Linked DNA regions of Coturnix japonica. The protein of the gene in region 7 binds, or shares a complex with, the protein of the main gene of each other region. Links are inferred from orthologs where the notes say so. Each region holds a gene or a part of one and is shown on either strand. Other genes may lie near its edges.

Region 1 (2,711 bases), on a different chromosome or scaffold from region 7:
TGCATCCAATGCTCAGAATGGTTTAAGTGATTAGAAATGTAAAAAGTGGAGACTTCTCTGAATACGAACATCTACAATACAAACATTTCTGAACTGGTAAAAACCCCACATGTGCACAAACACCGACTTCAGTATCTTAAATGCTCTTAATTCCTTTGAAGCTGCATTAGCATCTCTCATCCATTCAATGTTATTTTACCATTAGAAGAAGCAACAACAGTGCACTTAAGTGTGACTATGAAGATAGGAAGCAAAGTGCAATATCAGATAAACATTCCATCCTTAGGGAGCGAGCACAATGGCTCCTTCTTAAGAATTAGCGCTGCAGGTCTGATGAACACACTACTTACTTGGATACCAGCGATAATGTTACAGACAGGGAAATCTGCATCACAAACTGAAGCCAATCGAGGTGGGTAGTCTTTATAGCCAATGAAATAACATGTATTAAGGAACACCCAAGGAAGGAAAACAATGTTTTAGAGAGACATTTCCTTCCAATAAATCACTAATCTGCTCGGAAGAGGGAAGCTATTATTCGTTTGGGTTTTGGAGTTTTTTTCTGCCAGTTACTGACCAATGCCGGTAATTGAAGCCCTTTAAGAGAAACTGATTTGCTAATGAACTTTTGTTGTTTCTTACAATTGCCAACTTCCCTCCTGCTGTTGTATTTAATATTGTAAAACATTTGAACCAGCTCAGTAACTGGGAGGAGATATAACAGAGCATCAAAATGGCTGTGCTGACTCAGACAGCCAGGCATAACCACACCACCTTCACTTCATCTTCATCGTACACTCTTCTCACTTGCTTAACCTGACACATGCAGAAATTAGAGTTGACTACAGTTACACTTATCCCAAGATTTCTGACAAGCATATACAGCTGTGTGAATGAAAACCTTTTTGCATCTGAGGAAGTGCCAATACAACATAGTTAAAGTCATGTGTATGTCGCATTGTAAAATTTAAGACAAGCTGCGTTTCAGTTGCTTATTGAAATATACATGTAGCTCATGTTTATAGTGTATCCTGGAGTGGAACTGAGTACCTGGGACAGGATTAACCTTGTCAAGTTCCTAGTTTTGCCTGGTTTAGCCTTTCCAGTAGCCTCAACTAGCACGGCAAGAATCTCGCATGGGCTTAAAATTTAAGACTGACTTGGAATTAAAAATCACAAAGAACTTTCAATAGCCCACATTACAGCAGATATTCATCTCAGTGCATTTCCTAATAACTAATTTACAGGTAACAGAGCCAGCCTGGGTAGCAGTATGGTAATATTAAAAGCTATTGCCAATCACACACTTGCTTATCATGCACTGAATAAGATGATATAATTTTTTGACATACATACAAGATTTAATAACTAATCACTTTGTGTGGCCCAGCCAATAAACATTACATTTGAACAGTAATTTCTTCTAGCCTTATTAGATTTTAACCTATCAAGAGTGATCCATTGGCTCAGTTACATTAGCAATTCCTGCATCTTGGCTATCCATCTCCTCAAGCTCCTCAACAGAATTTCCCTTTTGTGCTTTAGACCTTGCAGGGAAAGTTGCTCCCACAGAATTCACCATGTTATCACCAGCTGACTCGGTATTCAAGTGTTCAGTACCACCCGGTGCAGAAAACGATTCAGGCAAGCCAGCCTGAAAGCTCCCAGTTTTAGCAGTTGAACTCGCTGCCTCTACTTTTCTTTGAGATACATCAACTGATGCTGACTGCTCTGTATTCTGATCCCGCAAATGTCTATCCATTGAAGCCTGAATAGAAGAGATCATCTCCTGCAACTTTTTTCTCTGTGTCTCAATCAAAGTAGGGTCGAGCTGCCTGCTGTCTCTCATTGTCACAACTCCAGGAGCTATTCGGATCAGCTCACTCTTACCAGAAGCAGCTGGGAATACAGAAGGCTCAATTTTAGCAGGACTGAAGTCTGTTTCTGTACTATGCTTTCTTAAAAGTGGTGCTTCCCTGGCTCTTTGATCATGTTGTTGACTACCAGATGCAGTTCCTAGCGAATGGCCCTTTCCTTGAAATGCAGTTATGTTATGTAGCTGTTCAGATTTCTTTTTCACTACTCCACCACTACCCAGCTTCAGCATTCCGTGAGATGGACTTGATTCTCTGCTCCGTGAAGTAGCTTCTGCTCGCACTTGACTTAAGGCCTCTTTAACCAAGTCTTCGACATCAGGACCAATAGGAAAGTGCCCAGCAGCATCCACACACAGCTCTAATCGATCTTCTGCTGCGTTGTACACAAAGTTTTTACCAGGCAAATGTGGAAAAGTACAGTGTTTGCCATCAACCAAACCTATAAAGATAAAAAAGAAAAAAAGGGTTTTCAAAACATTGCCATATTTTAAGGCATGCTCAGAATACACAGCAATTACTGAACTTAACGTTATTGCAGCCAAACCAGAGAAAACAGACTTTTTGCTGTTGGGAAAAAAACAACTACAGCCATATGATGTCACCATCCACAGCACTGCTGCTGTCTATGCTGATTCTAACAAACTGACAGGACTGAAGTACTACTGCATAAAATAACCAAGTTGGCAGGACCTGCAGCTCCAATGCAACAGAAGCTGAAGAAACAGCATCAGCTTGCAGTAACACCAGGAAAGCCAAAAACCATCATCACCCAAAGCTCACCACTGATCCCCCTAAAAACCTCCAAAACCCACCAACAGGAAACATCCAAAGAGA
Region 2 (4,288 bases), on a different chromosome or scaffold from region 7:
GAGACTGAGGCTTTACGAGGCACAGGCACTGTTCTGTTAAACCAAAGGGTTGTGTTAAACTGAAGGACGTGACTGGAATGTGGTTTATTTGTTGAATTGCATTGTTTGCCTGGCAGTTAACAGGATTGTAACCAGATAAGCTAGTCTTGCAAAGGCATTTTCCCTCTCTCGCATCCTCTCACAGAGTAACCCCTTTCTTAGGCAAAGGGGAAAGAAAGGATCATTCTTCCACAGTCAGAGGCAGGGATCTCTCATAGATGCCAATGGCAGAAATGGTTGTGGGCTCGCATTTACTTCTGTTCATTTTTGTTTTCTTGTTGTTGGCAGCCTGTAACTTACACAGTCTTGCCTGCATTTACTGCTATTTAACTTTCATGTGCAAACTGACTCGAGTCTGATTCTAAGCACCTAATATTCAAAAATTATTAGTGCAGGAGACAGTTATGTTGGAGAAAGTAAAACCAAAAGGGGGAAAAGCCATTCGAGTTAACAGTATTGACTGTATTTAACTTCCAGCTGGCGTTCAGCTGCTCTGCCTGGCTGTAACTGTTGCTCCGTTGTTATTATTTTCTGTCTTCCAGTTGAGTTTGATAGTAAAATAATTCAAAAGAATTTCAGTTTGGATGTTCTGTGGAGCTGACAGCTCCAAGTTGAGGCCTTGGGAGCAGTTTGTGAGCTGCTAGTCAGCAGGTAGCGGCCCTGTTACATAGTTCTCTATTTTGCTATTGTGGAGCCCAGCTTTTGGCTTTTCTTTGGATGCAGCGATATATTTCTCAAGTGTATGTTGTTGGATGAGTGCAGAACAGCAGCTGAAACCCGTGTGCCCTTTGCTGAATAGCAGACGTTCAAGAAAGTGCACTTTGAGGTGTTGTGGATGATCCGTAGACTTGAACTCAGCTCTAGGAAACTTGTAACAGATGTTTTTCACGTCACCTTGATGGCACATCTCTGCTAACGTTGGGTTCCTCCTCAATAAGTGGAGAATTCAAAGAGCCTTCTTGAGAAAGCTATTACAGGTGACCTGCTGCAAATAGTTCATTATCTCCCATTGCTGCCTCAGTCGTAGCGCTGGAAGCCTGTTTGTTATCGACCCCTTTCTGTGTAATCCTTATTTCAGTTTGCTTTCCTGTCACCCAGGCAATCAGATGGAATCCGTTGTTGATTACAGTGTTCTTCAAGGCAGAAGTACTGACTGCCTTCTGTGCTTAACATACTTTTCCTGTCACGATGAGCATGCAATAAGTAAACTCTATTTCCAGAACAAGCCGAGTTTTGTGCCTAAGTCTCAATCCAACCCCGTCTTAAATCATCCCACTTGCTGTATCCGTTTGATTTTTCACTTGTTAGTAACTCGATGCCCGTCCCTCTGGTGCCCGTTCCCCCTCACCCCCCCCTCACACAGCCCGGTTCCCGCCATGCCGCCCCGCCCCGCACGGCGGGGCCGAGGAAGGGCGCGGGCGGGTTTCGCGCTTGCGCAGTGCGCGCGGGCCGGCGGCGTGCGTGTTGTTGTGCGGCGGCGGCAAGATGGCGGCGCACGGGGGCTCGGCGGCCTCCGCGGCGCTGAAAGGGTTAATCCAGCAGTTCACCGCCATCACGGGTGAGGCACACGGAAGGCCGGGCCCGGCGCGGCTCCGAGCCGCTTCTCGCTTCGTCGAGCGGCCGGGATGGAGGAGGAGGTGGAGGAGGAGGAGGAGGAGGAGGGCCGGGCGCGGTGAGGCGGGGGCCCGGCGGGGCGGGGGGCCGGGCCTGTCAGCGGGGCGGCGGGTGGGCGCGGAGCCCGCCCCGGGAAACGCGGCTCCGGAGCGTCGGGCAGCAAGACCCGCCGGACCGACAGCGGTTCGGAGAGCGGGACGGCGGCCGGCACCACGGCTGGGATAAGGGCCCGCATCGCTGAGCAGCGTCCTCTGGAAGTGACCGTGCGGAGCATCGCGGGGTCGGTACCGCGCTCAGCAGCGGGATGCGGCCTGGACACGGGGCGTGCTGCGGGCAGCGAGCGGGACGGCACCTGCACACCGCAATGCTGCGGGGTTACGGGGCGTGGGATCTGCTGACAGGACCCTCGCTAGTATGAAAGATGTGTCTGTGCTTACAGCGTGCCCCGGTGTGTGTCTGATGTTTTCATTCTCAGCAGTGCCCCAAGCACTGAGAGCCAAGCAGAGCTGTGCTGTTCGCCCAGCAGCCCTCTGCTCGTGTAGGTGGGTTATGGAGATGTCTAACCCTGCTCCTACGCTCCGAAACAAGAAAACAAGAGGCTACTGGGCTCTGCCCGCCCACTTCTGAAAGAGGGGTTTGAGGTTCTGTCTTGTTGTTGTAATAGGATGTAAGGTTCTGTTTAGAAGGGAGTTCTTGCGGAGCTGTCTGACCCTGTGGCGCAGTGACAGGTGCTGCACTACACACCCTGTGTCGTCAGCCTGCACCTCTGGTGTGACCCTGCTTTCCCAGGGGTGTACACTGGATGCTCCAAGCCCTGTGGTGCTGTGTAAGTGCGCAGAGCTACCCATGTTTGTGTGGAAAAGGTGAAACAAAACCCATCCTGCCATCTGCTTCCAGCACACCTGATGGTGTAGAATCACAGAGTCACTGCGCTTGGAAAAGACAATATAAACATCAAATAGAGCTGTCAGCCCATGCCTACTCACCCATAGTCCTCAAATATAGTTCTCAGCAGATGTTTTGTGATGCTGGTTTCCTTAGGACTGAGGAAGATTTGGTACATATATATTCTGGTCCTCCTGAATGAGCAGCGCAGGGTGGCTGTGCTCTTCTATTTTGATTAAGGTCCTCAAGCACAGCCAAGTACCACTGAGGTGCTCTTGTGGCAGGTTGGTTTGCAGTGGGTTTGTTTGGAAAAGCAGTTACTTTGGTCGACCTGGCTTTCTTTGTGATGTAATGTAATAGCTCAGGTCATTTAGTGTTGCTTTATCTCAGCAGACTCAGTGTGTGTTCAGCGTATCAATCTGTTTAATCTAAAGCTCCGAGGACTTCCTGGAAAATCTCAGAGACACCCAATGGAAGCAGGTTAAATGTGTTTGCTCAGAGTGGCGTTAGCTGTCATTCTGATGCTGGGGAAATGGAGTTTTCTTCATTTCAGTGAGTTGTGGTGAAGCTGGTAAGAATTATTACAGACCAAAAGCTGCTCCCAAACTGGTTCGGCTGCATTTTGCCACTTTTCTTCTACACCAGCTTTTCCATATTAAAATAGACTCTTTGGCAGCCTCTACCTATAGAAACTTAGTGTAGTAAATGGGCTCTTAAAAGGTTGGATGCAGGAGAGATTCATTTGGTGAAGGTGCTTTTGTTGTCTGTGTGGCTTTGAGGAAGCTTTAGAGGCAGACCCTGTAAGGGAGAACAACTAACAATTAACTGAGCTTCTGCTTGTTTGTTTTTGCCTTCTGGAGCACTCAGTGAAACAGGGAATCTTTAGTTTCTATCTTTACATATCTGTTAGAGGTGGGTAAAAACCTTTGGCACTGGGTATAGTATTCTCACTGTTAAAATATTAAATCAGTTGGTTGTTTTGTTTTTTTCCATATAACACAATAGAAGTCAAACTTAATAAGCAGAATTTTCTCCCGATGGAAAGGGGAAGTGTGGCTGTTGTTTCCTTTTCCCTTGAGGTGCGTGTTTGTCTCACCTCATAGTTGTGCCTTAGGGATAAATGGCACCTGCTCAACTGCTCTAATGGTCAGTGCCTTAAAAGAGAAAGCTGGTTAGCTGTTCCCGTTGCTTCTGATCAGAATGCTTTACAAAGAATGCTTCAATATATATTTGCTTGGCATTGCAGGTGCCAGTGAAAGCGTGGGAAAACATATGCTTGAAGCATGCAACAACAACCTGGAGATGGCTGTCACCATGTTTCTGGATGGTGGAGGCATAGCAGAGGAGCCCAGCACCAGCTCTGCAGCAGTGTCTGCAGTTCGACCACACACCGAGTACGTACTGCATAAAAATGAGTAGTCTGTCCTATAAGTTTCATAGTGTAAAGACAGATCAGTTAAAACACTTGTTCTTTCTTTGGACCTTCTGTCATCTCAGTGTAACATGTGCTTCTTCAATGATCTCATTTAATTGATTGCTTTGATATTTTTCTTAATAAATAAGTTTATCTTGCTGCACAAGCTGGTCTCTCTTGAGTGTGCTTCAGAAGTTTTCCATTGCATGCACATGCTGTTGTTGCAGGCATAGCTCGAGTCATTGAAGTGAGGATCCAGTGAAAAGTGGGATCTTCTGGCACATCAGTAACTTAATATTCAAGTTTTTGTTGGAATACTTTCCTTTTTATACTGGA
Region 3 (4,103 bases), on a different chromosome or scaffold from region 7:
ACCCAATTTAAACACAGGCTACGTGGAAACCCCAACTTCTTGCCATACCACATTGTTCAGATTGCCAAATAGTACATAGTCTCACTTTTTAAAGCTTTCCCCATCTACTGACAGTCTTTCTTTTCCAGTTTTAATACTTCTAACATACACACACCAAGGAAAAACAACCTGCACGCAGCACCATAACCATGTGAGAGTGGGAAGGCTTTACACCACGACTGCAGCAACACTATGTACTGTAAATCCTTCCTACTACTGGGAGCAAACAGAAGTGGGTGCCAAAAACACTTCATGTAGTTGATTATAAATGACAAACATATAAAGAAAAACAAATTAGTTATTTAGTTAATGCAATACATTTCCAGCTCTCTGAACATTCTTTCTCAGCCTCTACTCTGTTCACTAGAGGTCTAACAAGACTTAAAACAATGAAGCATTTATTCTTCTTTTTTTTGAGCTATGCCACCCACTTCAAAAGGCACAGACTTCCAGCACGGCCCTGCAGGAGCCCTTTGTGTCGCTTTGTGCTGCTCCTCGGCTGCCACGTGTCTGCATATTTGTCACCTACTCAAGATAAAGGTCTGACCGAAACATTCTCAGAATCCTTCAGTTTGGTGCTAACCAAGAGCAAAGCACAGAACTGCTATTTTTACTGTGACAAACTCCCCGGCTGGCCTGACAGCCATAAAATACTATGAGTTCAGATTACTGAAAAGTCGTGCCGTTAAGTAAATATTTTCATCATTTGGACTGTAGTCCAAACAAAATCTAGCCGTCTATTCCTACTACAGCTATAGTTTGAAGATTCTCCTTAAACCCCCTCTAAACATCTAAAAGTTCACTCTAAAACTGATTCACATTGATGTGAAACAAAACCCAGTCCATCGCCCTGCTCCTCAACACCTGTGCTACGAGGTAAGCCCAGATATTACAAACAGACAGGAGAAATGCTTCTCATTTCCACTGAGGGTAATACAGCTGTCATCTACCTGCACGGCACGTCCTGCTCTTTGGAGTTAGGTCAAATCAAACACAAAAAACAAAACCACAGCACTAGAAACATGTAAAGGATGAAAAGGGCGAACATCTGATCCTGAGCATGAACTGGTTCAGACTGCAGATAAAGCCCAGCAGACCGTCACTATTCATCTACGAAGAAACAAACTCAGTACAAAGCCTTATATCCAAGAAAGAACAAAACAGAAACTGTGATTTTAAAGCAAAAGGAGTTTTACACAGGAAGCATCAGCAACACGCCCGTACTATTGGCCTGAAACTTTGAGAGGGGCCAAGGAAGGCAGAATCAACAAAACAAGAAGAAATAAATGCAAGAAAAAGCACAAAGATTTTAAATATAGTGAACCATCCTGCTTTTATTTAATATGTATGCAAGGAAGAGGTCGGACACAGCTGTCAGCTACAACAAGCTTTGTAACATTAGATACAATGACATTACCAAGATCCACTATTTCCTCCTCTGGAGAGAAAGCTCACATCACTTCTCATGGTGCAATATAAACCAGCTCCCCAGGTGGAACAACCTAATGTTCTTATTACGTATTGCCTTTGTGCAGGTATATCTATACGTACAGAGAAAGGCATTTATCCACACACGCTCCTTTCATAGGTGCAGATCATTCTAGTTACGCAGGCTTACCATCAAAAAGAGTCATTTTGGCTCATAGAAATTCATGTAATAGGAATTCTGCTACAGTTGTAGCATAGCACAGACAAAAACAGAAACCTTCATGGATTTTCCTGTCAGGAGACCTTCTAGTATCTCTCCTTTGAAACCAAGTTCACTAGAAATTAATGAATTCCGTGTTTTCCTTCACTGGGAAAAAACCTGTTCCAGATTCACTCGGGAGCCACGTGACACGTTGCTGCTGGTTTCATCACTTAGAAATGCTAAAAGCAACATCCAGAGCATTTTCCCTGTATTCCTAAATCTATCTGTCATGTGCTGTCAAACAGACAAAGCATTTTTGATGCAGCAAAAGCAATTCAGTGGATAATCCCCCCAAAACATCAGCTCTTTTTGAACCTCTGCGATAAGGCAGATACCAGCCAAACACCTTCTAGGGGGAAGCAATGGATACATTAAGCTCCTTCTCTGTTCTGTGGAACAAAGTAATACAAGATCTAGCCACGAAGTATTGCTAATGGTTGGACTAGATGATCTTCTTGGTCTTTTCCAACCTTGATAATTCTGTGATACATGTTTTTAGCGTCCTGTCTCATAACTGGTAGTAACTGCCCTTCTAACAGCTATGGCAATAAGTACAAAAACAAACAGTTATTTGTATAAACGTAGCCCAGCTCAGGAGCTGCATGAAGCAGATAGGGCCTATCAGCGCTGACACGGCCCCGCTCTCACAGCGTTATACCCCACAGAGACGGGATGGAGGGGAACCCACACGGTGCCACAGCGCAGCGCAGGAACCACAACTCGCCGGGCTGCCACCAGCAGCGGGTGAGGGGGAACCCGGCGGAACGGAAGGGGCCAAGCACGGCCGGGCGGGGCCTGAATGGAGGAGAGCCAACAGCGCCCGCTCCTCACGGCTGGAGGAGGACAAGGAAGAAAAGGCAGAGCGCTATGGCGGCTGGGAGGCAGCGCTGCGCCCCTTCCCGGGGGTATCGGACACATCCAGCACCACACGGCGGCACAGCCCCCATCCCCCCGCACTGCCCCGCCCCGCACTCACTCACTCACATTCTCTGCGCAGCGGCGGCCCCGCTCCCGGCACCGCACCACGTGACGCGGCCTCCAGTCCGCGGGTTCGAGGCCCGCCCCGTCCCGCCCCGCCCCGCGCCTCACAGCGGCGGGAAGGCGCGGCCGTGCGCTGTGATGGGGCGGAGGGGCAGCAGGTGGAGTGAGGTGCGGCAACGCGATGGTGTGTAATGAGCTGTGTAAGTCGGACGGTTCAACTGCTTCAGCTTTTTATTCAGACACTATAGATCCAGAGAAGGACACATCCGAGAAGGTTGCGGGGTGACCTCATTGCAGCCTTTCAATACCTGAAGGGAAATTACTCCCAGGAGGGGAGTAAACTCTTGGAATGGGCTGACAATGGCAGGACACGGGGAAATGGTTTTAAGTTAAAAGANAGGGGGAAGTTCTTCACTAGGAGAGTGGTTAGGCCCTGGAACAGGCTGCCCAGGGAGGTTGTGGATGCCCCGTCCTTGGAGGTGTTCAAGGCCAGGTTGGACGGGGCCCTGGGCAACCTGATCTAGTAAAGGTGTATGTTTGGTGGCCCTGCCAGGCAGGGGGGTTGGAACTACATGATCCTTGAGGTCCCTTCCAACCCGGGTCATTCTGTGATTATGTGAAAACGTAGGAGCCTGAATTAGGGAATCACAGTGGCTGGTGGTGCCAGTGTGTGATGAGAAATGAGTGGTACAAATAGCAGAGCCAGAGCTACCTGAGCTACCTGCACACGGCTGCCAGCTCTGCAGCACTTCGGTTCCTCACAACTTCTTGGCAATTCACACAAATACGTCACCGTATTTATCCAAAAATTGCAACCCGCCCTTCCAAAAGCAGCACAGCTCAGCAGACTGGCAGGCGTGGAAGGGGCTGGATTCCTAGAAACAGGGTGGGGATGGAGCTAAAGGAGCAGCCTGTGCCAAAACAAGCAACTGCAGCACACTGCTCTTCCAAGAACAAACAGGAGCCAAACGAGGAGGGCATGCTGAGCGTGCCACCATCCACACACCTTGTCCTAAGACCTTCAGTTCTGGCACGTTGAGATCTGTTACCTCAGTTAATGCTAATCTTGATAATTCATAGAAATCAGCGGATTTGGGAGTTAGAAAATCTGTCATTCTGGCATTCCTAACATACACCGGGATTTCTATAATTGCACCACTTTCTGTAATGGCCTCCTTGAGTTTCATGCCACCGTAACTCCAGGCTGTAATTCTTAACCATGCAGTATTTAGCTCAGATCTTATTACTGGATGTACAAGACTTGAGGTTGTGGCTTCCTGGGTCCTGGAAGGTCTGCATTCTTAACATCCTGTTCAATCATATTTTCTATCTTACCTGATAAAGCCCAAATAACAGGAGTCATGGGAACAACTGTAGGCTCAGGTTAAGTAAG
Region 4 (4,268 bases), on a different chromosome or scaffold from region 7:
CTCCTCGGGCAGTGCTGCCTATGGGAGCACACAGCAGCACTGCATGGTGAGCCCATCCCACCCTGCCTGAGCCTGCAGGCAGCGTGTCCTTCCTATTGGAAAGGTGCACGGGGGGCACACGGCCCAACCTGACACTTCTACATCACCAACACTGCAGGCCTGTCCTTGGTGGGGTTCCCTCCTCAGCAGGGTCCCAGCCAGCTGCCAAAGGACGGGCAGTGCCGACACACAGCTCACAACGGGGAATTCTGTGAAGAGATTGAAAGGGAAAGCAGAAAGGTACAAATGTCAGAACAGACTGGCTTTGTTTCAACACCGGACCCATGTGTCAGCAGCAGATACCTTTGTTATGCATCTGTCTGTTAAGCAATGTGAGGTTACTGGGATAGGCCGCCCAGCTCTGCTCTATGCAGTGGGGTGGGGAGGAGGGCAGCGGAGCACAGGGCACCCAGAGCAGCACTGCGTGGTGTTTGTAACACTTGGGTGCCCCAAACCTTCATCCTGCAGCCCACAGCTCACAGGGACAAAGGCTGCACCTGGCACAGCGCTGTGCTTCACAACTAAAGAGCTCTGCAAGCACAGCTCTGCTCTGCAGCTTCACGGGGTCCCTCAGGCATTTCACAGTCACTTTACAGCTCCAATGGTGCCAATGAGCAGCAGCTCAGCTCAGTGCTGGCCACATGCGCTGGCTGAGGCGCAGGGAGCCCCGTCACCCACCTTTGTTTTCCTGCGGATGCTCAGGATGTGGATGTCCTCGCTGCGGAACTGCTCGTCGTGCTGATCCAGGGGCACTCGCTCCAGCTCAAAGTCCACCTGAAGCAGCTGTGAGGACAGTGTGGGGTCATCGGGTGGCACTGCCCTTTGGAACGGAGCGTGCACAAAGCCAGGCCCGGTGACAAAGCTGCCCACAGCAACAAGCCACAAGTCTCCTGGTGCAGCTCATCTACCCTCATCTACCCAGTGCCAGCTCACAGCTGCAGACACCTTGCAGCACAGAACAGGAGGCATCAGTTAAAGGGTGAATTAAAAAACGGTCTGAATCGAAGGCTTTAGATAGAAGCCTTTGCTTCCTTCTGCCTCCAAACCGCAGCGCCCGCCTGGCTCTGCCAGCCCTCACAACTGGAGGGAAAGGCAAACAAACACACAGCGCCTGCAGGATCCACTTGGCTGAACCACGACCAGCCGAGGAAGGAAATTAATTATGGGAAGGCAGAAATCATCCAGAAACACGTCGACTGACGGCAGGTACTGCTGGCACAGGGCGGCTGCCTTCACAGCACAGAGCCAAACCCAACATGGGGGCAGCCCAGCAGGGACAGCCAGAGCTGTGCTGTGTGTCCGACCTCACAGCACACAGCTGGTCCGAGGGATCCCAGCAGGACCAGCACCCACAGTGCAGCACAGCGCTGCTTGTCAATGCAGCTGTGCTGGTTTGCAGAGCTGGATTTGTGGAGCAGCCCGCCCTGTGCTTTCCATGGAGCACGTGAGAGGAAAACAGCTTCTCACCTGGTTAATGTTTAACTGTCCCCATAACCTGTGTGTGTTAGCAACCAGCTGGTGCAGAAAGAAGAGCACGGCCACCTGCTGACCTGCTGCTATGGAATCACTGCTCTGACACACACACGGGCCATTCTGCAGCTCTGTGCCCAAAAGCAGCAGCACAGAAATGGCCAGCACAGGCTGCACAGGGACCATCCAACCCGGCCTTCAACACCATGGGATGGACGGGGCATCCACAGCCTCTCTGGGCAGCTGTTCCAGCACCTCACTGCTCTCACAGTAAAGAACTTCCCCTGACATCCAACCTAAACCTGCCCTCTTTCACTCCAATCCATGCCCTTTGTCCTGCCGTTCCAAAGAGCTGCACATGAAGCACAGACACACACACACACACAGACACACACACACACAGACACACACACTCACTCACTCACTCACTCACCTCCAAGTACCTCCTCTCAATCTCCGGGTTCCTCCCCTCGGTTCTCTGTTCGTAGCAGCACAGCACACACGTATCGGGGCCCGTCAGCTCCCGCAGAGTCTTCAGCAGCGGCTCCAGGGACTGTCCAAAGGGGTCGAATTGTCCATAGGGGTTGAATTGCCCACAGGGGTTGAACTGCCCACGGTTCCCCTTTGCAGGTCACCTCACCGGCCGTTCCCCCTCACTCCCCCCGTCCCGTCCGTCGCCCCGTTACCTCCTCGTAGTAGATGCAGTCCGCCATAAGGATGTAATCTGGCGGCGGGCGGAACCCGGACACGTCCTGCCCCCTGTAACGGGGCTCGGGGTGAGCCTGGGCCGAGCGGCGGCGGGGCGGGCGGGGCGGGCGCGTCCCCCGGGGCCCATACAAACCATTTGAGTCCCATACAAACCATTTCAGTACCTCGGCTCGCACCGACCCCGTCACCAGGTGCCGGTTGTTGTCGATATTCACGGCCAGCAGCTCCTGCAGCTCCTGCAGGTCGGTCAGCGTCACGTCGGCCCTGAGTGTCGCGCGGTGCCGTCAGCCCGCAGCCCGCACGGTCCCGCCCGCAGCCCCCGACGGCGGCGCCGCGCTCACCCCAGCGTGGCCGCCATGATGCCCACGGCGCCGGTACCAGAACCCAGCTCCAGCACGGCCCGGCGGGACAGCGGGAACGAGCCGGTCTCCAGGAACTTGGCGAGCACCAGCGCCGCGTCCCACACCACGCAGCCCACCCCGCCAGAGCGCTGCAACAGCCGCAGCGACGGGCCCGAACGGAGCTCCAGCTCCCGAACGAAGCCCGACATGGCCGTTACACTGAGACGGCGCGGCCCCTCCTACACAGGGCGGCTGTGGAACCGAGCGGCGGGCGGGGATGGGGGGAATGAGAGTGTGAGAGCGGTGAGGTGCTGGAACAGCTGCCCAGAGAGGCTGTGGATGCCCCGTCCATCCCTGGAGGTGTTCAAGGCCAGGTTGGATGGGGCCCTGGGCAGCCTGGGCTGGTATCAATGTGGAGGTTGGTGGCCCTGCCTGTGGTGGGGGGTTGGAGCTTCATGGTCCTTGAGGTCCCTTCCAACCCAAGGTGTTCTGTGAGGGCTGGAGCAGCTCTGCTATGAGGAAAGGCTGAGGGAACTGGGCTGAGTTAGCTTAGAGAAGGCTGCGGGGAGACCTCATTGTGGGCATCCAGTACTTGAAGGGAGCGTATAAACAGGAGGGGGAACGGCTGTTTGTGAGAGTGGGCAGTGACAGGACAAGGGGGAATGGTTTGAAATTGAGACAGGGGAGGTTTAGGTTGGATCTTAGGAGGAAGTTTTTCCCCCAGAGGGTGGTGACGCGCTGGAACAGGTTGCCCAAGGAGGCTGTGGATGCCCCATCCCTGCAGGCATTCAAGGCCAGGCTGGATGTGGCTCTGGGCAGCCTGGGCTGCTGGTTGGTGACCCTGCACACAGCAGGGGGTTGGAGCTGGATGAGCACTGTGGGCCTTTGCAACCCAGGCCATGCTGTGATGGTTCGATTATTCCCCACACCCACCAAGCACATCGTGTCCCTCAGTGCTGCAGTTCTTTACCAATGCTCCCATCCCTTCCCCAAGAAGCATTCACTGCATTTGCAAGACTCCAAACTGCATCCAGAGCCCCACATATGTTAAAATATGGGAAAAAAGGAATTAATAAAATACAGTTCCCCTCCCTGCCCTGTCTTTCTTGCTGTGCTGCAGCCAGGTCTCAGTGCCAGCAGGAACCATGCAGGCTCCAGCACAGGAGCTGCACGCACTCCGTCCCTGCAGGCTGTGCTCCCTGCAGCACCCAGGGGCGTTTCGTTTCCTCTTCAGGGCTCTCCCATTCCAGCTGTTTATCCGCACTGTTGTCAGGATCTGCCTTTTCCCACAGCAGCCAACTCCAAACCCAGCAATTTCACATTCCTCCCCCAGCATTTTTTACTCTTTTTATCCACCCCTCTAATTACAAAGCAGCTGAAATGTCAGTTTGCTGCTCTATCTCGGCATTCCACAGAACCACACTGGTGGGAATCTGCTGCTGCCCCAGCACTGCATTACTTTGGGAACGTGTGTTTCTGTACCCGCCGTGCTCCTGTGCTGCTGGCATTGCTGCTGCTCCATCGCCGCCTTGGAACGCTCCTTCCTGTTGGCATTTCCCAGCTCCTGTTTTGCTTGGAAGAGGGTTTAATTGTGCGGTGAGTGAGCCGTAAGCAAGGCTGCTTTTTTTGCATTGCGCTGTGATTTATAGGCTGCCATTGAACTCCTGTGAAGGTACGAGCAGGATTTCATGCTTGGGGAATGCAGCTGAG
Region 5 (4,177 bases), on a different chromosome or scaffold from region 7:
CTGGCATTGCGTGCCCCCTGGGTAGTGGAGGCCCTCACTTGAAACCTGCTCACCGGAGCCGTTGCTCTCGTTTTATCTCTTCTGCAGTGAGGTTGTAGAAGTCATTTGGCAGCTCAAATCGGGCAGCTTCAGGTGATGGTTTAAATACACAGAGCTGGCGATCCAGCTGGAGTCTCAGCGGCTCACAGCTTAAAAGCTGATCTTTATAGTACTTAAGGTCTTCCAACCTGGTCAGCATTTCTTCCTTCAGTACGTAATATTCTTCAGTGGTGTCTACAACCAAAAGCACGTTCACATATGAAATTTAAGGGCAATAATCTCCAGAAAACCTACTGCCTTAACAAGAAAAAAGCAGGACCAGAGGCTGTTCATGTAAAACAGCCCTGAAGTGTGAAGCTCTCAGAGCCTCCCCTGGGATGTCCCATCACTCAGGCTGCTGCCTTCACTTTATAATACACTTAAATATCTTGCCTTGTCCTGGAACAGGCAGTGTTTTTGTCTCAAACCCAACAGACTGGAAAAATTTATGTATGCCTTCCAGGCAGTTTATCCTTTCCTGGAAGAAAAGGAAAAATATTAAATGTAATCTGCTCCAGGCAATGAGTTCCCCAGGCAGAACAGCTGCAACAATCCTGATCTCACCTGAAATACTTTGTTCTGTAGTTTGATTTTCTGGTACTTCTCCTCCTCTGGATGCCGATAGATATTGTCCAAGTATCTGCAGAAAGAGGAATCTATGTATTTCATGGATCAAAGCGGGCACTTTAGGACATGCTGCCCATAAGGTCTCATATGGAAAAGTAAGGAAAGCAAACTATTCATTTCAAGCAGCACCTCCTAAACCTCTTGGACCAGTAGATCAACTCAAAGCATCTCAGACATTGCCTGGAGTGCAGCAATGCCTGTTAACCTTCCAGGGAAGGGACAAGCTCCCTGCGTGCTCCATCCTACTTACTTGGCCATGGTTTCTACACCCACTCGGACTTTGTCCCGATCCTTATTAAAGGTGTGAATCTCCATGATGGAGGCGGCCACTGGGTCTACTGCAAAATACTGGGAAAGAAGAAGAGAAGTCGTGGGTGGACTGACTATTCTGTACAATCAAAGAGCGTTTATAGCAAGCCAAAGGGACAGGCACTTATAACATCTGAACAGAGCCTGCAGTCTGAGAGATAGGGGAGAAGATAGGAGGGTAACTGCTGTATTGCTTGAGGGGATTAATGCACAAAATGAGTTAAAATGGAAGCAGCACAGCCTGCAGATGTAGATCTCACCGACTGGATGGCTTCTCTGATGTGTTTTTCTTTCTCATCTTTCCTTACAACTGCGCTGGTCAATGGGCAGATGAAATAAACCCCTGAAACAGAGGGTTCAGCTGCAGCTTCCTTGTACGAGAAGGCTGGGTCCTAAAAGAGACAAAAGCAGGTGCAACTGAATTGTATTGTTTGTATTGTATTGGATTGCTGTGGGTTGTTTGCATATATCTATAGGACAGGAACAACAGCACTCTCAAAGCATTCATTTTATCATAGGGAACAAGCTGCTCGTACCTCTTGGTCTGCACAAACCCCTTTCTCACTTGCAGCTGCCTCAGCCATCAGCTCCTTTCTCACTAGGAGAGAAAAAATCCCAGTTATGGCAATAGGGGAACAGAGCTCTGCTTCCTCAGAGTGCTTTGCATTGCACAGCTGATTGCCTTAACCCCATTTCTAAGAGGCTCGTCATCAAGGAGCCAGCTCCAGCTGCCAAGATGGGGACTCTACGCTCAGACCTACAGCAGCTGGTTGAGCTTGGAGGTAACACTGATAAAGCTTTGCAGCCCAGCCAGGCTTGTAACTGCGAGGAATCTCCTACCCTGGTTCTTTATGGCCTCGTAGGAGGAAGGTGGCTTCGCTTTGGGCTTCAGCTCCATCCGAGCCATCGCTGCCGCCGCCGCCATCTGTGCTTCATCGGTGGGTCCTTGTCGAGGCTTCGGTGCTGCCTCTGCTTTCGGCTTCTCCTTGGGGACCCTACAGGACAGAACGCAGCTCTATGGGCCCCTTGACCGGCAGTAACAGCTTTTAGCACCCCAACCAGCCCTTGTATGGACTCAAGGTATAGATCCCAACCAGCCCTTGGGTGGACTCAATGGATCCCAACCAGCTCTTGGATGGACTCAATGTATGGATCCCAACCAGCCCTTGGATGGACTCAATGTATGGATCCCAAATAGCCCTTGGATGGACTCAATGGATCCCAAACAGCCCTTGGATGGACTCAATGTATGGATCCTAAACAACCCTTGGATGGACTCAATGTATGGATCCAACCAGCCCTTGGATGGACTCAATGTATGGATCCCAACCAGCCCTTGGATGGACTCAATGTATGGATCCCAACAACCTTGGATGGACATCAAGTTGTAGGGATCCCAACCAGCCCTTGGATGGCCTCAATGGATCCCAAACATCCCTTGGATGGACTCAATGGATCCCAACCAGCCCTTGGATGGACTCAATGGATCCCAATCACTCCCAGCCCCATTCGTTAACACAGCCCCCCCCCAAGCCGTGACGTCCCGGTCCCGAGCTCCATCTCTGGGCCCAACGGGCGGTACCGAGCGGTTACCGGCGGTGCAGAGCCCCGTACCGAGTCGGTTCCGAGAGTTTCTGGCCTGGTCCAGCGCTTCGAAACTTCAGGTCGGCCTTGATCTCCTGGAAGAACTTGCGCATAGCGACGGAACCGGGACCCGAACCAACACCGGAACGGTACCGGCCGCACCCACCTCCCACTTCCGGTCTACTCACGTGATCGCACCCGGAAGTAGGTGGGGGCAGCAACGCCTTCCTGCCGTTCTACCCAGCCGTCTCTGTGCGCGGTCCTCCAGGCTCCCCGGGGCTAATGGACCTGTATGGTGTCCTATAGTTGGACCCTTCAGCCCCACTATGGGGCAGGTAAAGTGGGTCAAGATGCAGATCAGAGTGGTCTGAATTGGAATGGACCTCTAAAAGCCATCTGGTCACACTCCTGCAGAGAATAAGGTCACCCACAGCTTAAAGAGCCCCATCCATAGTCATATTATCCCCATAGACACCTCTTTGGGTCCTTATACCCACTCTAAATCTCCCCTCTTTTAGTCTGAAGCCATTTCCCCTTGTCCTATCACACAGACCCTGCTAAAGAGCAGCCCCTTGTTTCCTATAGCCCCTATAGGTACTGAGAAACCACTCTCATCTCCCTATGGAGCCTCCTCTTATACACAGCCCCAGCTCTCAACCCATCCTACATCATTTTTATGGCCCTCTCTGGTCACACTCCAACAGGTCTGTGTCTCTTTTGCACTGGACTCAATGCTCCAGGTAAGCTCTAACCAGCACAGGGGCAGATCCCCTCCATCATTTCCTATGGCCTTCTAAGCAGCCCCCAACAGGGAACACAGCACACTCAGTTTGTTCTCACTCCTCTCCCATAGGTGTAATTGCTCCGTAGTTAATCCCTGCCACACGTGTGGGTTGTGTTTGCTAACAGCCTCACCAGGCTCAGCTGCATCTCATCCAGCTTCCATTTCTCACTTGGGATGCAGCAGCAAATTGTTGCTTAAAAGCTGAGCTAAAGCAGGATGAATCAGATGGGCTGGTTGGGTTTGGCTCCGTGAAAGCACAGAAATCAGGTCATTAAATCACAGGTCTATGATCCTAAATCAGCTCTAATTCCTCTGCATGCTCCCTGCTCCTTTCCTATCCAACTTTCCCCTATATTAAGGGCAAGCTCTCCATTCCTATCCAACCTTCCCCTACATGGCTGTGCTCTTTAAGGGATGCCTTCCATACCCCCAGCCCTGCTCTCATGGTTATATCAGGACAATTCCATGGAGCTGCTGGGCTTTAACCACCCTAAAGCTCCATCCCATGGGCCTTAACCTCCCTAAAGCTCCATCCCATGGGCCTTAACCTCCATCCCATGGGTTTTAACCTCCCTAAAGCTCCATCCCATGGCTCTGGGAGGCTCATTTTGCTTATCTGTCCCTAACGAGATGGCTGCTCATTGCTTTTTCCCCCTCAAAATCATTCACCTTCGTGCCATGGGGACCCTCCCTGGCAGCCTATTCCCCCCTCATAGCTCACCACAGTCCCTGACCCCTTTAAACCTATGATCCCCCATCCCCATAGACCCCAATACCCCTCCATATCTCCCCCCC
Region 6 (2,677 bases), on a different chromosome or scaffold from region 7:
AGAGAATAAGAGTTCTAGAGGTTTTCAAGTACTTAGAGGCAGTGAAATATTTTAATTCACGCACTGACATGTATTCCTAATGCTTGACAAAATAAACTCAACTACTAGGGCTCCTAGATCCTATCAGCTGCTACTGAACATTAACATTCACCAGCTACTTGAAATAAACACTGTCATAATATGAGCTGTTTTTTGGCACAGCAAGAGGGAAAAAAAATATTATTTGATTAAACATTGTGTTTAATGTCAGCTTTCAGAAATAATAAGCAGTGGAACTGCACCTACATTCTGAGCTGAAATAAGCCCAAAGCACAGACTGCCTATGGTCTGCTTCACAATACTGACTCTGACCTCAAATTTATAGGTAGAATATAAATGTATAAAACACAAGCATAGTGCGTGTCCATCCCTTTCCATGTAGGCCTGAATATCTTTTATATTTGGCAAGCAACATAATCAGCACTTCGACACAACAGAAACTGAGACGAACAAAAACTGCCTACGGTCTTTTAACGTAGAAGTTTATTTACTCAGCACATTAAATGCATTATGATTAAATCATGCCAACAGATTACAAAAGCAAATGGCTTCAATTACAACTGCACATTTAAAATTTACGAAAACTTCTGCTTTGAGATGAAAAGTTGAGATTAATCTGATATACCAACCAAAGATAAAGCTATGCATAAATAAGTGTGTTGATATTTGCAAGGTAAAATAATCAGTGAAAACAGGATTTTTAATACATATATCTGTACAAAGAATACAGACCATTTACCCTCCTTCAGAGTCTGATCCATTCATTTGATATAAAGCCACAAATATTATAAATCTGCAGCCAGTCTACCCACTATGTAAGATTCCTACTTACATATTACCACTTTATTTGAAATATATATATGTGATTTCAAAGATTAAGAGGTTTAATTATACAGCCTCCAATGGAAGTGTATAATGGCAAGTTGCACAATTAAATCCCCACTGAATATTACAAAAGGTCTTTAGCCAAAATTCCAAGTATAAAGATCTGACTTTCAGGTCAAAGCCACACAATCAATTAACACATCTACTTTTGTGCATGCAAATGACTGAATAAACAATGTTTGTGTCTGTGCACCTTTGTAGTTTTTATTTAAGTAACTGTTCATGTGAAGAATCACACAGCTGCACAGGGTTCAAGTTCAAAGTGACCAGAGACCTACCATCACAAAACCTACATCACAGCAGTTCTTCAGATGACAGCGGTCTTTCTCACTTCCTTAACTTCAGAAGAAAAGAAATTCATAGTTTACACCACAAGTAGAACAACCAGAATACAAATGAGAACGCTACTATAGTCCGCTAGAGCTGAGCTTTGCATCTCCTGATACTGATTCTCTCAAAACAACAATATAAGGATATTTACATAAGAATTAAAATATAAATAATTATACTACACGATGAAACACTAGAAACAGAATATACAAAACTTATAATACAGCATTAATTATCTGTCAACCTATCAAACATAATACCTTGATGTTAATACAGCTTAGAAGGTAAACATAACCTACAGGCTAAGTTTTCACATGGCTGTTTGTCAATGCAGCATAAAACATTTCCATAGTGCAAATCTTACCAACCGTATGAAATACTCTCTCCCCTCCAGTAAAATGCTTCTTCCCCCCTCCCCCATAAAACAATGAAGAGTCACTGTGATAGCTCACATCTCATACATGCCATTGTTTGAAACATACTAACACAGGGAAACTCAATTTTAACACTGAAAAGGGGTTAAACAATGCTGAGAAATTAAAATAAGATATGCCATAGCTGGAAGACATGAAAATCAAGAATCTGATCTATGGAAGTGGAAGAATAAAGATGCCGATCCTTCTGTTTTTCATCTACTGAAAACATTGTATGACAATACAGCACAGACTCCATACTGTAGCAATGGCTCTAAGATTACTTTAGTTGCTGAAGAATCACAGTGTTAAGTATATCTGCTTCTCGTAGAGTCAGGCTTTCATCTGTTAGCTCTTTATTTGGAAAGGTCGTCACAAGAACAAAATCAGTTGTTGCAAATGCTGGACGGGACTGGATAATGAAATCTCGAATATCTTTAATCCTGTGGAAGGGATATGGACATGAAAGCTGTGCATATAGACATGATTGCATTCCAACCTGAATCTCTGAAGACTAAGAACACAATAACAGATTGAAAAACTGTTTAATATGTCCTAATGGTTTTACTTTTCAATTTCATCCATACTGGTAAGTAATTTCTCGAACTGGTGCTGGGAAGGAAGAGCCTGGGCTGGTACTATCAAGCCTACTGAAGTAGGAGATGTTATTGCTGCAAATTCTTGTCTATTGGCATCTCAGCTGAAATTACCTTCTTGTAGTCTATGTATTTTGTCAGGTGAAGAAAGCTGCACATTGGCTCTGCCCTTATTCTGAGACAGAAATGGAAGGGAAAAGAAAAAGAGACCAGGTGAACTCTCAAAGCCATATAACAGCTTTGTAAAGAAACTGAGTCCACACTAAGATAACTAAGATCATTTTCAAGACAAGTTTCAGCTGTGTTCTAACACAGTGCTGCACATTTTGGAGTGCATTAACTTGAGCCTTGCCTGCTACCAAGTGTGGGTAGAACTGCTACCCAAATCTCTGCCTTCTGCTCAAAGTTCTCTCA
Region 7 (3,500 bases):
TCTCAGAAACTGCCTGACTCCTCATCAATAAAAATTAAGAGAAGCCAGAAAATTATTCCGCAGCCTAAGGCATGAACATCCTCTCAAACAGCCACTTACTCCTTCAGTGTGCCCCAAGCTACCCTCAGCCAAGAAAGGCTAGCATTAGATTTCAAGTATTTTGTTATTTTCCTAAGCTCTAACCTAGTAAGGCTAAAAAATCATACCAAAGCCCAGAACCCCAGAAGCTGAACTCAAACAAGCAGTCAACAAACCACACAGAAAAAGTTTAACATTAAATTTCTGCTCAGTCTTTTCAAGGTCCCAGAAGCACAGTCTGTAATAAAGTATCTAGCAGACAAAGCAGAGCTAATAAGACAGTTACCAAATCGCCTGAGTGCTGGGTCGATGCTGTTCGGTCTGTTGGTAGCTGCCATAACAATCACATGTGCTCTCTGTTTCAGTCCATCCATAAGAGTCAACAGCTGAGACACAATGCGACGCTCCACCTCTCCATGTGTCTGTGGAGATGGAAAGCAATGATCAGACGTAAAGCTCTATAGCACAGCACACGTACTAGTGCTGCACCATATCAGACAGACACTAAACCCACCAGCTGCTAAGAAACACTGTGAAAGATGCACAGTTCCTCTCATGTCCAACTGCTGCTTTACCCTACGCTCAAAGCACACAAAGTCATGCCAGTTGCTACCAAGAGGGTGTACAGATACCTCTTTAGATCCCAAAGGCCATTTTTACCTTCTCTCTCTTTGGAGCAATGGCATCCAGTTCATCAATGAAAATGATGGCAGGTGCATTTTTTTCAGCTTCTTCGAAGGCTTTCCTCAGGTTGCTTTCAGACTCACCAGCCAGCTTGCTCATGATCTCAGGACCTGAAAAAATAGCAGCTCTGTGGCACCCAGAAGAGAAGCAGCTAGCTCCAAGACATGCACCTGAATTTTTTCAGTACCACATTCACACAGGAGTATCTATATTTCAAGCCAAAGCAAACACTATCAACCAAATTCACTAAATCTGCAGCTGAACAGGCAAGAACAGCATGCGGAATTACTTTCTATCGTTACTCTGGTGTTTTCAGTTTACTCTAACAGAATGCAGTACTAGTCAATGAGCTACCTTTAGCTGCCTCTTTTCTTACCCTATTTCACACTTGGTGAGCTTCTCTGTAATGTGCCACCCCACACTGTTAATGCCAGTCCTAGCTTGCAAGAAAAGCAATCAAATTATATGGTGATGAATTATCAGAGTAGGGAAGGAAAAAGCTGTAAGATACTGAAGCTGTCTTCAGCTTGCATTACACAGGTAAACATTTACCTCTATACAAGCTTATAAGTAAGCTCCAAAACAAAACAAACAACAACAGAAAAAACAAACTCACACATACATAACCAAAAAAAACCAAACCCAGAAGCAAACAGCCACAAAAGCACCCCAGGCAACCTCCCCGCAAAACATTAACTCATAAAGAAATACGAACACATCAATTCCAGAAAGGACAGCGATCCCCTGAGATTTCCTACAACTGCTGAACTCTAACGCTTACCAATCTAATTTGTTTAGATTTTTTCCATCGTCATTATGGGAATGATCCTGAAGACAAAGTATGCTTCTTCAGAAGGATCCAAGGAAAATAAACCTGACCCTCAGGAGTGCAAAGCTGCTAGCTGACTGAAGTGCTCCAGCTGCAGAGCACACTGGTGCAGGCAGGTACTGTTTTACTTCAGGTAACTCATCAATTCACACCAGCTCTGTCTACCACCTGCTGCTTCAGGTTTGGGATGAGCAGAGAACACATCACTAATTATGACAAAAGATGGTATGTTTATAATGTAACAGAATCACAGGTTTCTGGAGACTGGCTTATTATCAGTGACACCTTTCATACACTTAAAAAATATAAGACAAGGGTGACATATGGGTAGGGACTCCCACTTTATATCTGAAGTTGTCAGAAGTAAAAGCAAGTTAATTCGCTACCACTGGTCACTCCTATGATATCTTGAGTTAAAAAGCAGATCCTGCCGCTCTCTGCTATGCTGTGCTTCTTTCAGCTTCATGGGTCTAACTCAAAGCATAAAAGAGGTAAGGCAGCAGTTCTCAAGTACAAACATTCAGTTATTGTAGCAAACTGAATGTTTGTACTTGAGAACTGCTGCCTTACCTCTCTTTTATGATTTCAATTAGAAAGAAGCTACACCTCAGTACAGAAAGGACATGGAGGTGATGGATTAGGTCCAAAGAAGGGCAATAAGGTTTGTGAAGGGCTTGGAGATTATGCCCTATGAAGAGAGACTGAAGGAACTGGGGCTGTTCAATCTGGGGAAAAGGAGGCTGAGGCAGGACATTATTGCTCTCTTCCAACACCTGAAAGGCGCTTACAGCAAGAGTGGGGTTGGTCTCTTCTCACTGGTGGCAGGTCACAGGACGAGAAGAAATGGCCTCAAGTTGTGCCAGGGAGGTTTAGGTTGGATATCAGGGAAAAACTTCTTTATAGAAAGGGTTGTTAAGCACTGGAGTGGGCTCCCCAGGGAGGTGGTTGAGTCACCATCCCTGGGTGTGTTTAAAAAAAGGTCTGAATGTGGTGCTTGGGAACATGATTTAATAGAGGGTTGTTAGAGTTGGGGTAGCATGGTTGGGTTGTGGTTGGTCTTGATCTTTAAAAGTCTGTTCCAACCTGAGCAATTCTATGATACTGTGATTCTAGGATGCGAGAAAAGCAGTGAGGAAAATTCAGAATTTTGTCTTCATAGCGGACATCATAAACTCATATCTATCTATCTCAACTGCTGTAAGTGATAATGATCAGCATGAGGTTCTGTCATTTGTAGCTAAGTTCCTCAGCACACGCTGCAGCTTTCAGGAAAAGTTCCTTCCAATTCAAGTTAAATGAAACTTGAAAACTACAAGGTCTTGTACTTTATTTGAAGGGAAGAAAATTGCAATGCAGACTAGCTTTTTTTTTGGAATAAAACATGCTGATAAGAAGAAAAAAGTTTACACCTATACATGGAATAATCTCACTGCTTCACTCCTAGCCATGCCCCTACAACATAAATGAACACTCGGACAGACTGAGTTCCTGCAACACAAAGCTGCCTTTCAGCCACTCTGCAACAAAACAATTACACTTGAGTACAGTGCCACTAAAGACGCTTCCGCACAAATGGCATCTAAGCATCCACAGAGGGGCACCGGAAAGAGGTAAAGAAGGACAGATGTCAAGGAGGCAACATGCCTATACGAGCCTTATTTAAACCATTCGCTGCCTTAGCTGGATGAATGATTACACAGCATATCTTGTTCCAAAGCAGACCCAAAACTTACCATTAATCAGGAAGAAGAAAGCCCCAGTTTCATTGGCCACTGCTCGGGCAATCAGTGTTTTGCCAGTGCCAGGTGGACCATAGAGCAGGATTCCCCGTGGAGGCTGGGAAAAGAGAAAAGGGACTTAGGTGGTGAACTTGCATCAGAATGTCTAAGAATCTTCACAGTGAAATCAC

What was found.
Region 1: the proteins of VCP (region 7) and VCPIP1 are in contact, whole or in part, in a cryo-EM structure (PDB 9DIL), measured with the Homo sapiens proteins. The link is inferred for Coturnix japonica from reciprocal best matches to the Homo sapiens genes VCP and VCPIP1. Residues at the interface, in NP_009057.1 of Homo sapiens: Asn589, Asp627, Asn750, Arg753, Lys754, Met757, Phe758, Gln760, Thr761; in NP_079330.2 of Homo sapiens: Trp609, Ser620, Asn621, Val622, Tyr623, Asp624, Gln645, His649, Leu652, Thr655, Ala656, Lys657.
Region 2: the proteins of VCP (region 7) and UBXN7 are in contact, whole or in part, in a crystal structure (PDB 5X4L), measured with the Homo sapiens proteins. The link is inferred for Coturnix japonica from reciprocal best matches to the Homo sapiens genes VCP and UBXN7. Residues at the interface, in NP_009057.1 of Homo sapiens: Val38, Leu51, Phe52, Arg53, Gly54, Asp55, Ile70, Leu72, Pro106, Val108, Tyr110, Leu140, Glu141, Ala142, Tyr143, Pro178; in NP_056377.1 of Homo sapiens: Arg418, Tyr419, Pro420, Asp421, Gly422, Arg424, Leu455, Asn457, Phe458, Arg460, Lys462, Gln480, Glu481, Thr482, Phe484, Val485, Gln486, Asn489.
Region 3: the proteins of VCP (region 7) and RHBDD1 are in contact, whole or in part, in a crystal structure (PDB 5EPP), measured with the Homo sapiens proteins. The link is inferred for Coturnix japonica from reciprocal best matches to the Homo sapiens genes VCP and RHBDD1. Residues at the interface, in NP_009057.1 of Homo sapiens: Asn33, Asp35, Val38, Phe52, Arg53, Gly54, Asp55, Thr56, Ile70, Leu72, Tyr110, Pro137, Tyr138, Phe139, Leu140, Glu141, Ala142, Tyr143, Arg144, Pro145, Ile175; in NP_001161080.1 of Homo sapiens: Ser300, Glu303, Met304, Arg305, Gln307, Arg308, Leu309, Arg311, Phe312, Asp313.
Region 4: the proteins of VCP (region 7) and VCPKMT are in contact, whole or in part, in a crystal structure (PDB 7OAT), measured with the Homo sapiens proteins. The link is inferred for Coturnix japonica from reciprocal best matches to the Homo sapiens genes VCP and VCPKMT. Residues at the interface, in NP_009057.1 of Homo sapiens: Arg239, Gly280, Glu283, Ser284, Arg287, Lys312, Arg313, Glu314, Lys315, Thr316, His317, Gly318, Glu319, Val320, Glu321, Arg322, Arg323, Ser326, Gln327, Leu329, Thr330, Asp333, Pro355, Ala356, Arg359, Phe360, Arg362; in NP_078834.2 of Homo sapiens: Arg14, Ser15, Phe16, Val17, Arg18, Gln32, Tyr33, Ser34, Ser35, Gly36, Gly37, Val38, Val41, Trp43, Asp44, Ile47, Val48, Leu97, Asp144, Tyr147, Tyr148, Glu174, Arg176, Thr177, Met178, Gly179, Lys180, Asn181, Glu209, Tyr210.
Region 5: the proteins of VCP (region 7) and UBXN6 are in contact, whole or in part, in a cryo-EM structure (PDB 8FCO), measured with the Homo sapiens proteins. The link is inferred for Coturnix japonica from reciprocal best matches to the Homo sapiens genes VCP and UBXN6. Residues at the interface, in NP_009057.1 of Homo sapiens: Pro23, Arg25, Ile27, Gln43, Asp47, Gln50, Leu51, Phe52, Arg53, Gly54, Asp55, Leu58, Lys60, Gly61, Lys62, Arg64, Leu72, Glu80, Lys81, Gly97, Val99, Ile100, Ser101, Gln103, Pro104, Cys105, Pro106, Asp107, Val108, Lys109; in NP_079517.1 of Homo sapiens: Pro279, Ser280, Pro281, Ala283, Ser284, Phe286, Glu287, Leu288, Phe292, Phe293, Asn294, Leu295, Glu299, Ile300, Arg302, Glu303, Gln304, Leu306, Arg307, Ser308, Val311, Leu314, Ser315, Val316, Leu317, Arg318, Thr319, Lys320, Ala321, Met322.
Region 6: the proteins of VCP (region 7) and UBXN2B are in contact, whole or in part, in a cryo-EM structure (PDB 8B5R), measured with the Homo sapiens proteins. The link is inferred for Coturnix japonica from reciprocal best matches to the Homo sapiens genes VCP and UBXN2B. Residues at the interface, in NP_009057.1 of Homo sapiens: Arg113, His115, Glu132, Leu140, Ile182, His183, Cys184, Glu185, Glu187; in NP_001071087.1 of Homo sapiens: Phe215, Ser216, Gly217, Glu218, Gln220, Leu222, Gly223, Leu225.

What each region holds. Positions count from the first base shown.
Region 1 is NC_029517.1:104,312,226-104,314,936, forward strand, and holds part of VCPIP1 (deubiquitinating protein VCIP135), read right to left. Parts: intron 2,317-2,711; coding exon 1,448-2,316; 3' UTR 1-1,447. UniProt on the Homo sapiens protein: Deubiquitinating enzyme involved in DNA repair and reassembly of the Golgi apparatus and the endoplasmic reticulum following mitosis. Necessary for VCP-mediated reassembly of Golgi stacks after mitosis.
Region 2 is NC_029524.1:3,593,472-3,597,759, forward strand, and holds the start of UBXN7 (UBX domain-containing protein 7), read left to right. Parts: upstream 1-1,488; 5' UTR 1,489-1,524; coding exon 1,525-1,597; intron 1,598-2,639; exon of another isoform or gene 2,640-3,784; coding exon 3,785-3,932; intron 3,933-4,288. UniProt on the Homo sapiens protein: Ubiquitin-binding adapter that links a subset of NEDD8-associated cullin ring ligases (CRLs) to the segregase VCP/p97, to regulate turnover of their ubiquitination substrates.
Region 3 is NC_029524.1:7,758,242-7,762,344, reverse strand, and holds the start of RHBDD1 (rhomboid-related protein 4), read right to left. Parts: upstream 2,801-4,103; 5' UTR 2,714-2,800; exon of another isoform or gene 2,706-2,713; intron 1-2,705. UniProt on the Homo sapiens protein: Intramembrane-cleaving serine protease that cleaves single transmembrane or multi-pass membrane proteins in the hydrophobic plane of the membrane, luminal loops and juxtamembrane regions.
Region 4 is NC_029520.1:52,362,561-52,366,828, forward strand, and holds the start of VCPKMT (protein-lysine methyltransferase METTL21D), read right to left. Parts: upstream 2,801-4,268; 5' UTR 2,768-2,800; coding exon 2,559-2,767; intron 2,482-2,558; coding exon 2,371-2,481; intron 2,269-2,370; coding exon 2,196-2,268; intron 2,063-2,195; coding exon 1,943-2,062; intron 823-1,942; coding exon 718-822; intron 249-717; coding exon 234-248; 3' UTR 1-233. UniProt on the Homo sapiens protein: Protein N-lysine methyltransferase that specifically trimethylates 'Lys-315' of VCP/p97; this modification may decrease VCP ATPase activity.
Region 5 is NC_029543.1:1,643,137-1,647,313, forward strand, and holds the start of UBXN6 (UBX domain-containing protein 6), read right to left. Parts: upstream 2,801-4,177; 5' UTR 2,712-2,800; coding exon 2,629-2,711; intron 2,010-2,628; coding exon 1,855-2,009; intron 1,613-1,854; coding exon 1,551-1,612; intron 1,407-1,550; coding exon 1,275-1,406; intron 1,054-1,274; coding exon 956-1,053; intron 719-955; coding exon 643-718; intron 557-642; coding exon 472-556; intron 274-471; coding exon 54-273; intron 1-53. UniProt on the Homo sapiens protein: May negatively regulate the ATPase activity of VCP, an ATP-driven segregase that associates with different cofactors to control a wide variety of cellular processes.
Region 6 is NC_029517.1:101,289,820-101,292,496, reverse strand, and holds the end of UBXN2B (UBX domain-containing protein 2B), read right to left. Parts: intron 2,439-2,677; coding exon of another isoform or gene 2,333-2,438; exon of another isoform or gene 2,212-2,332; intron 2,111-2,211; coding exon 1,948-2,110; 3' UTR 501-1,947; downstream 1-500. UniProt on the Homo sapiens protein: Adapter protein required for Golgi and endoplasmic reticulum biogenesis. Involved in Golgi and endoplasmic reticulum maintenance during interphase and in their reassembly at the end of mitosis.
Region 7 is NC_029547.1:7,821,650-7,825,149, forward strand, and holds part of VCP (transitional endoplasmic reticulum ATPase), read right to left. Parts: intron 3,428-3,500; coding exon 3,325-3,427; intron 873-3,324; coding exon 739-872; intron 501-738; coding exon 365-500; intron 1-364. UniProt on the Homo sapiens protein: Necessary for the fragmentation of Golgi stacks during mitosis and for their reassembly after mitosis. Involved in the formation of the transitional endoplasmic reticulum (tER).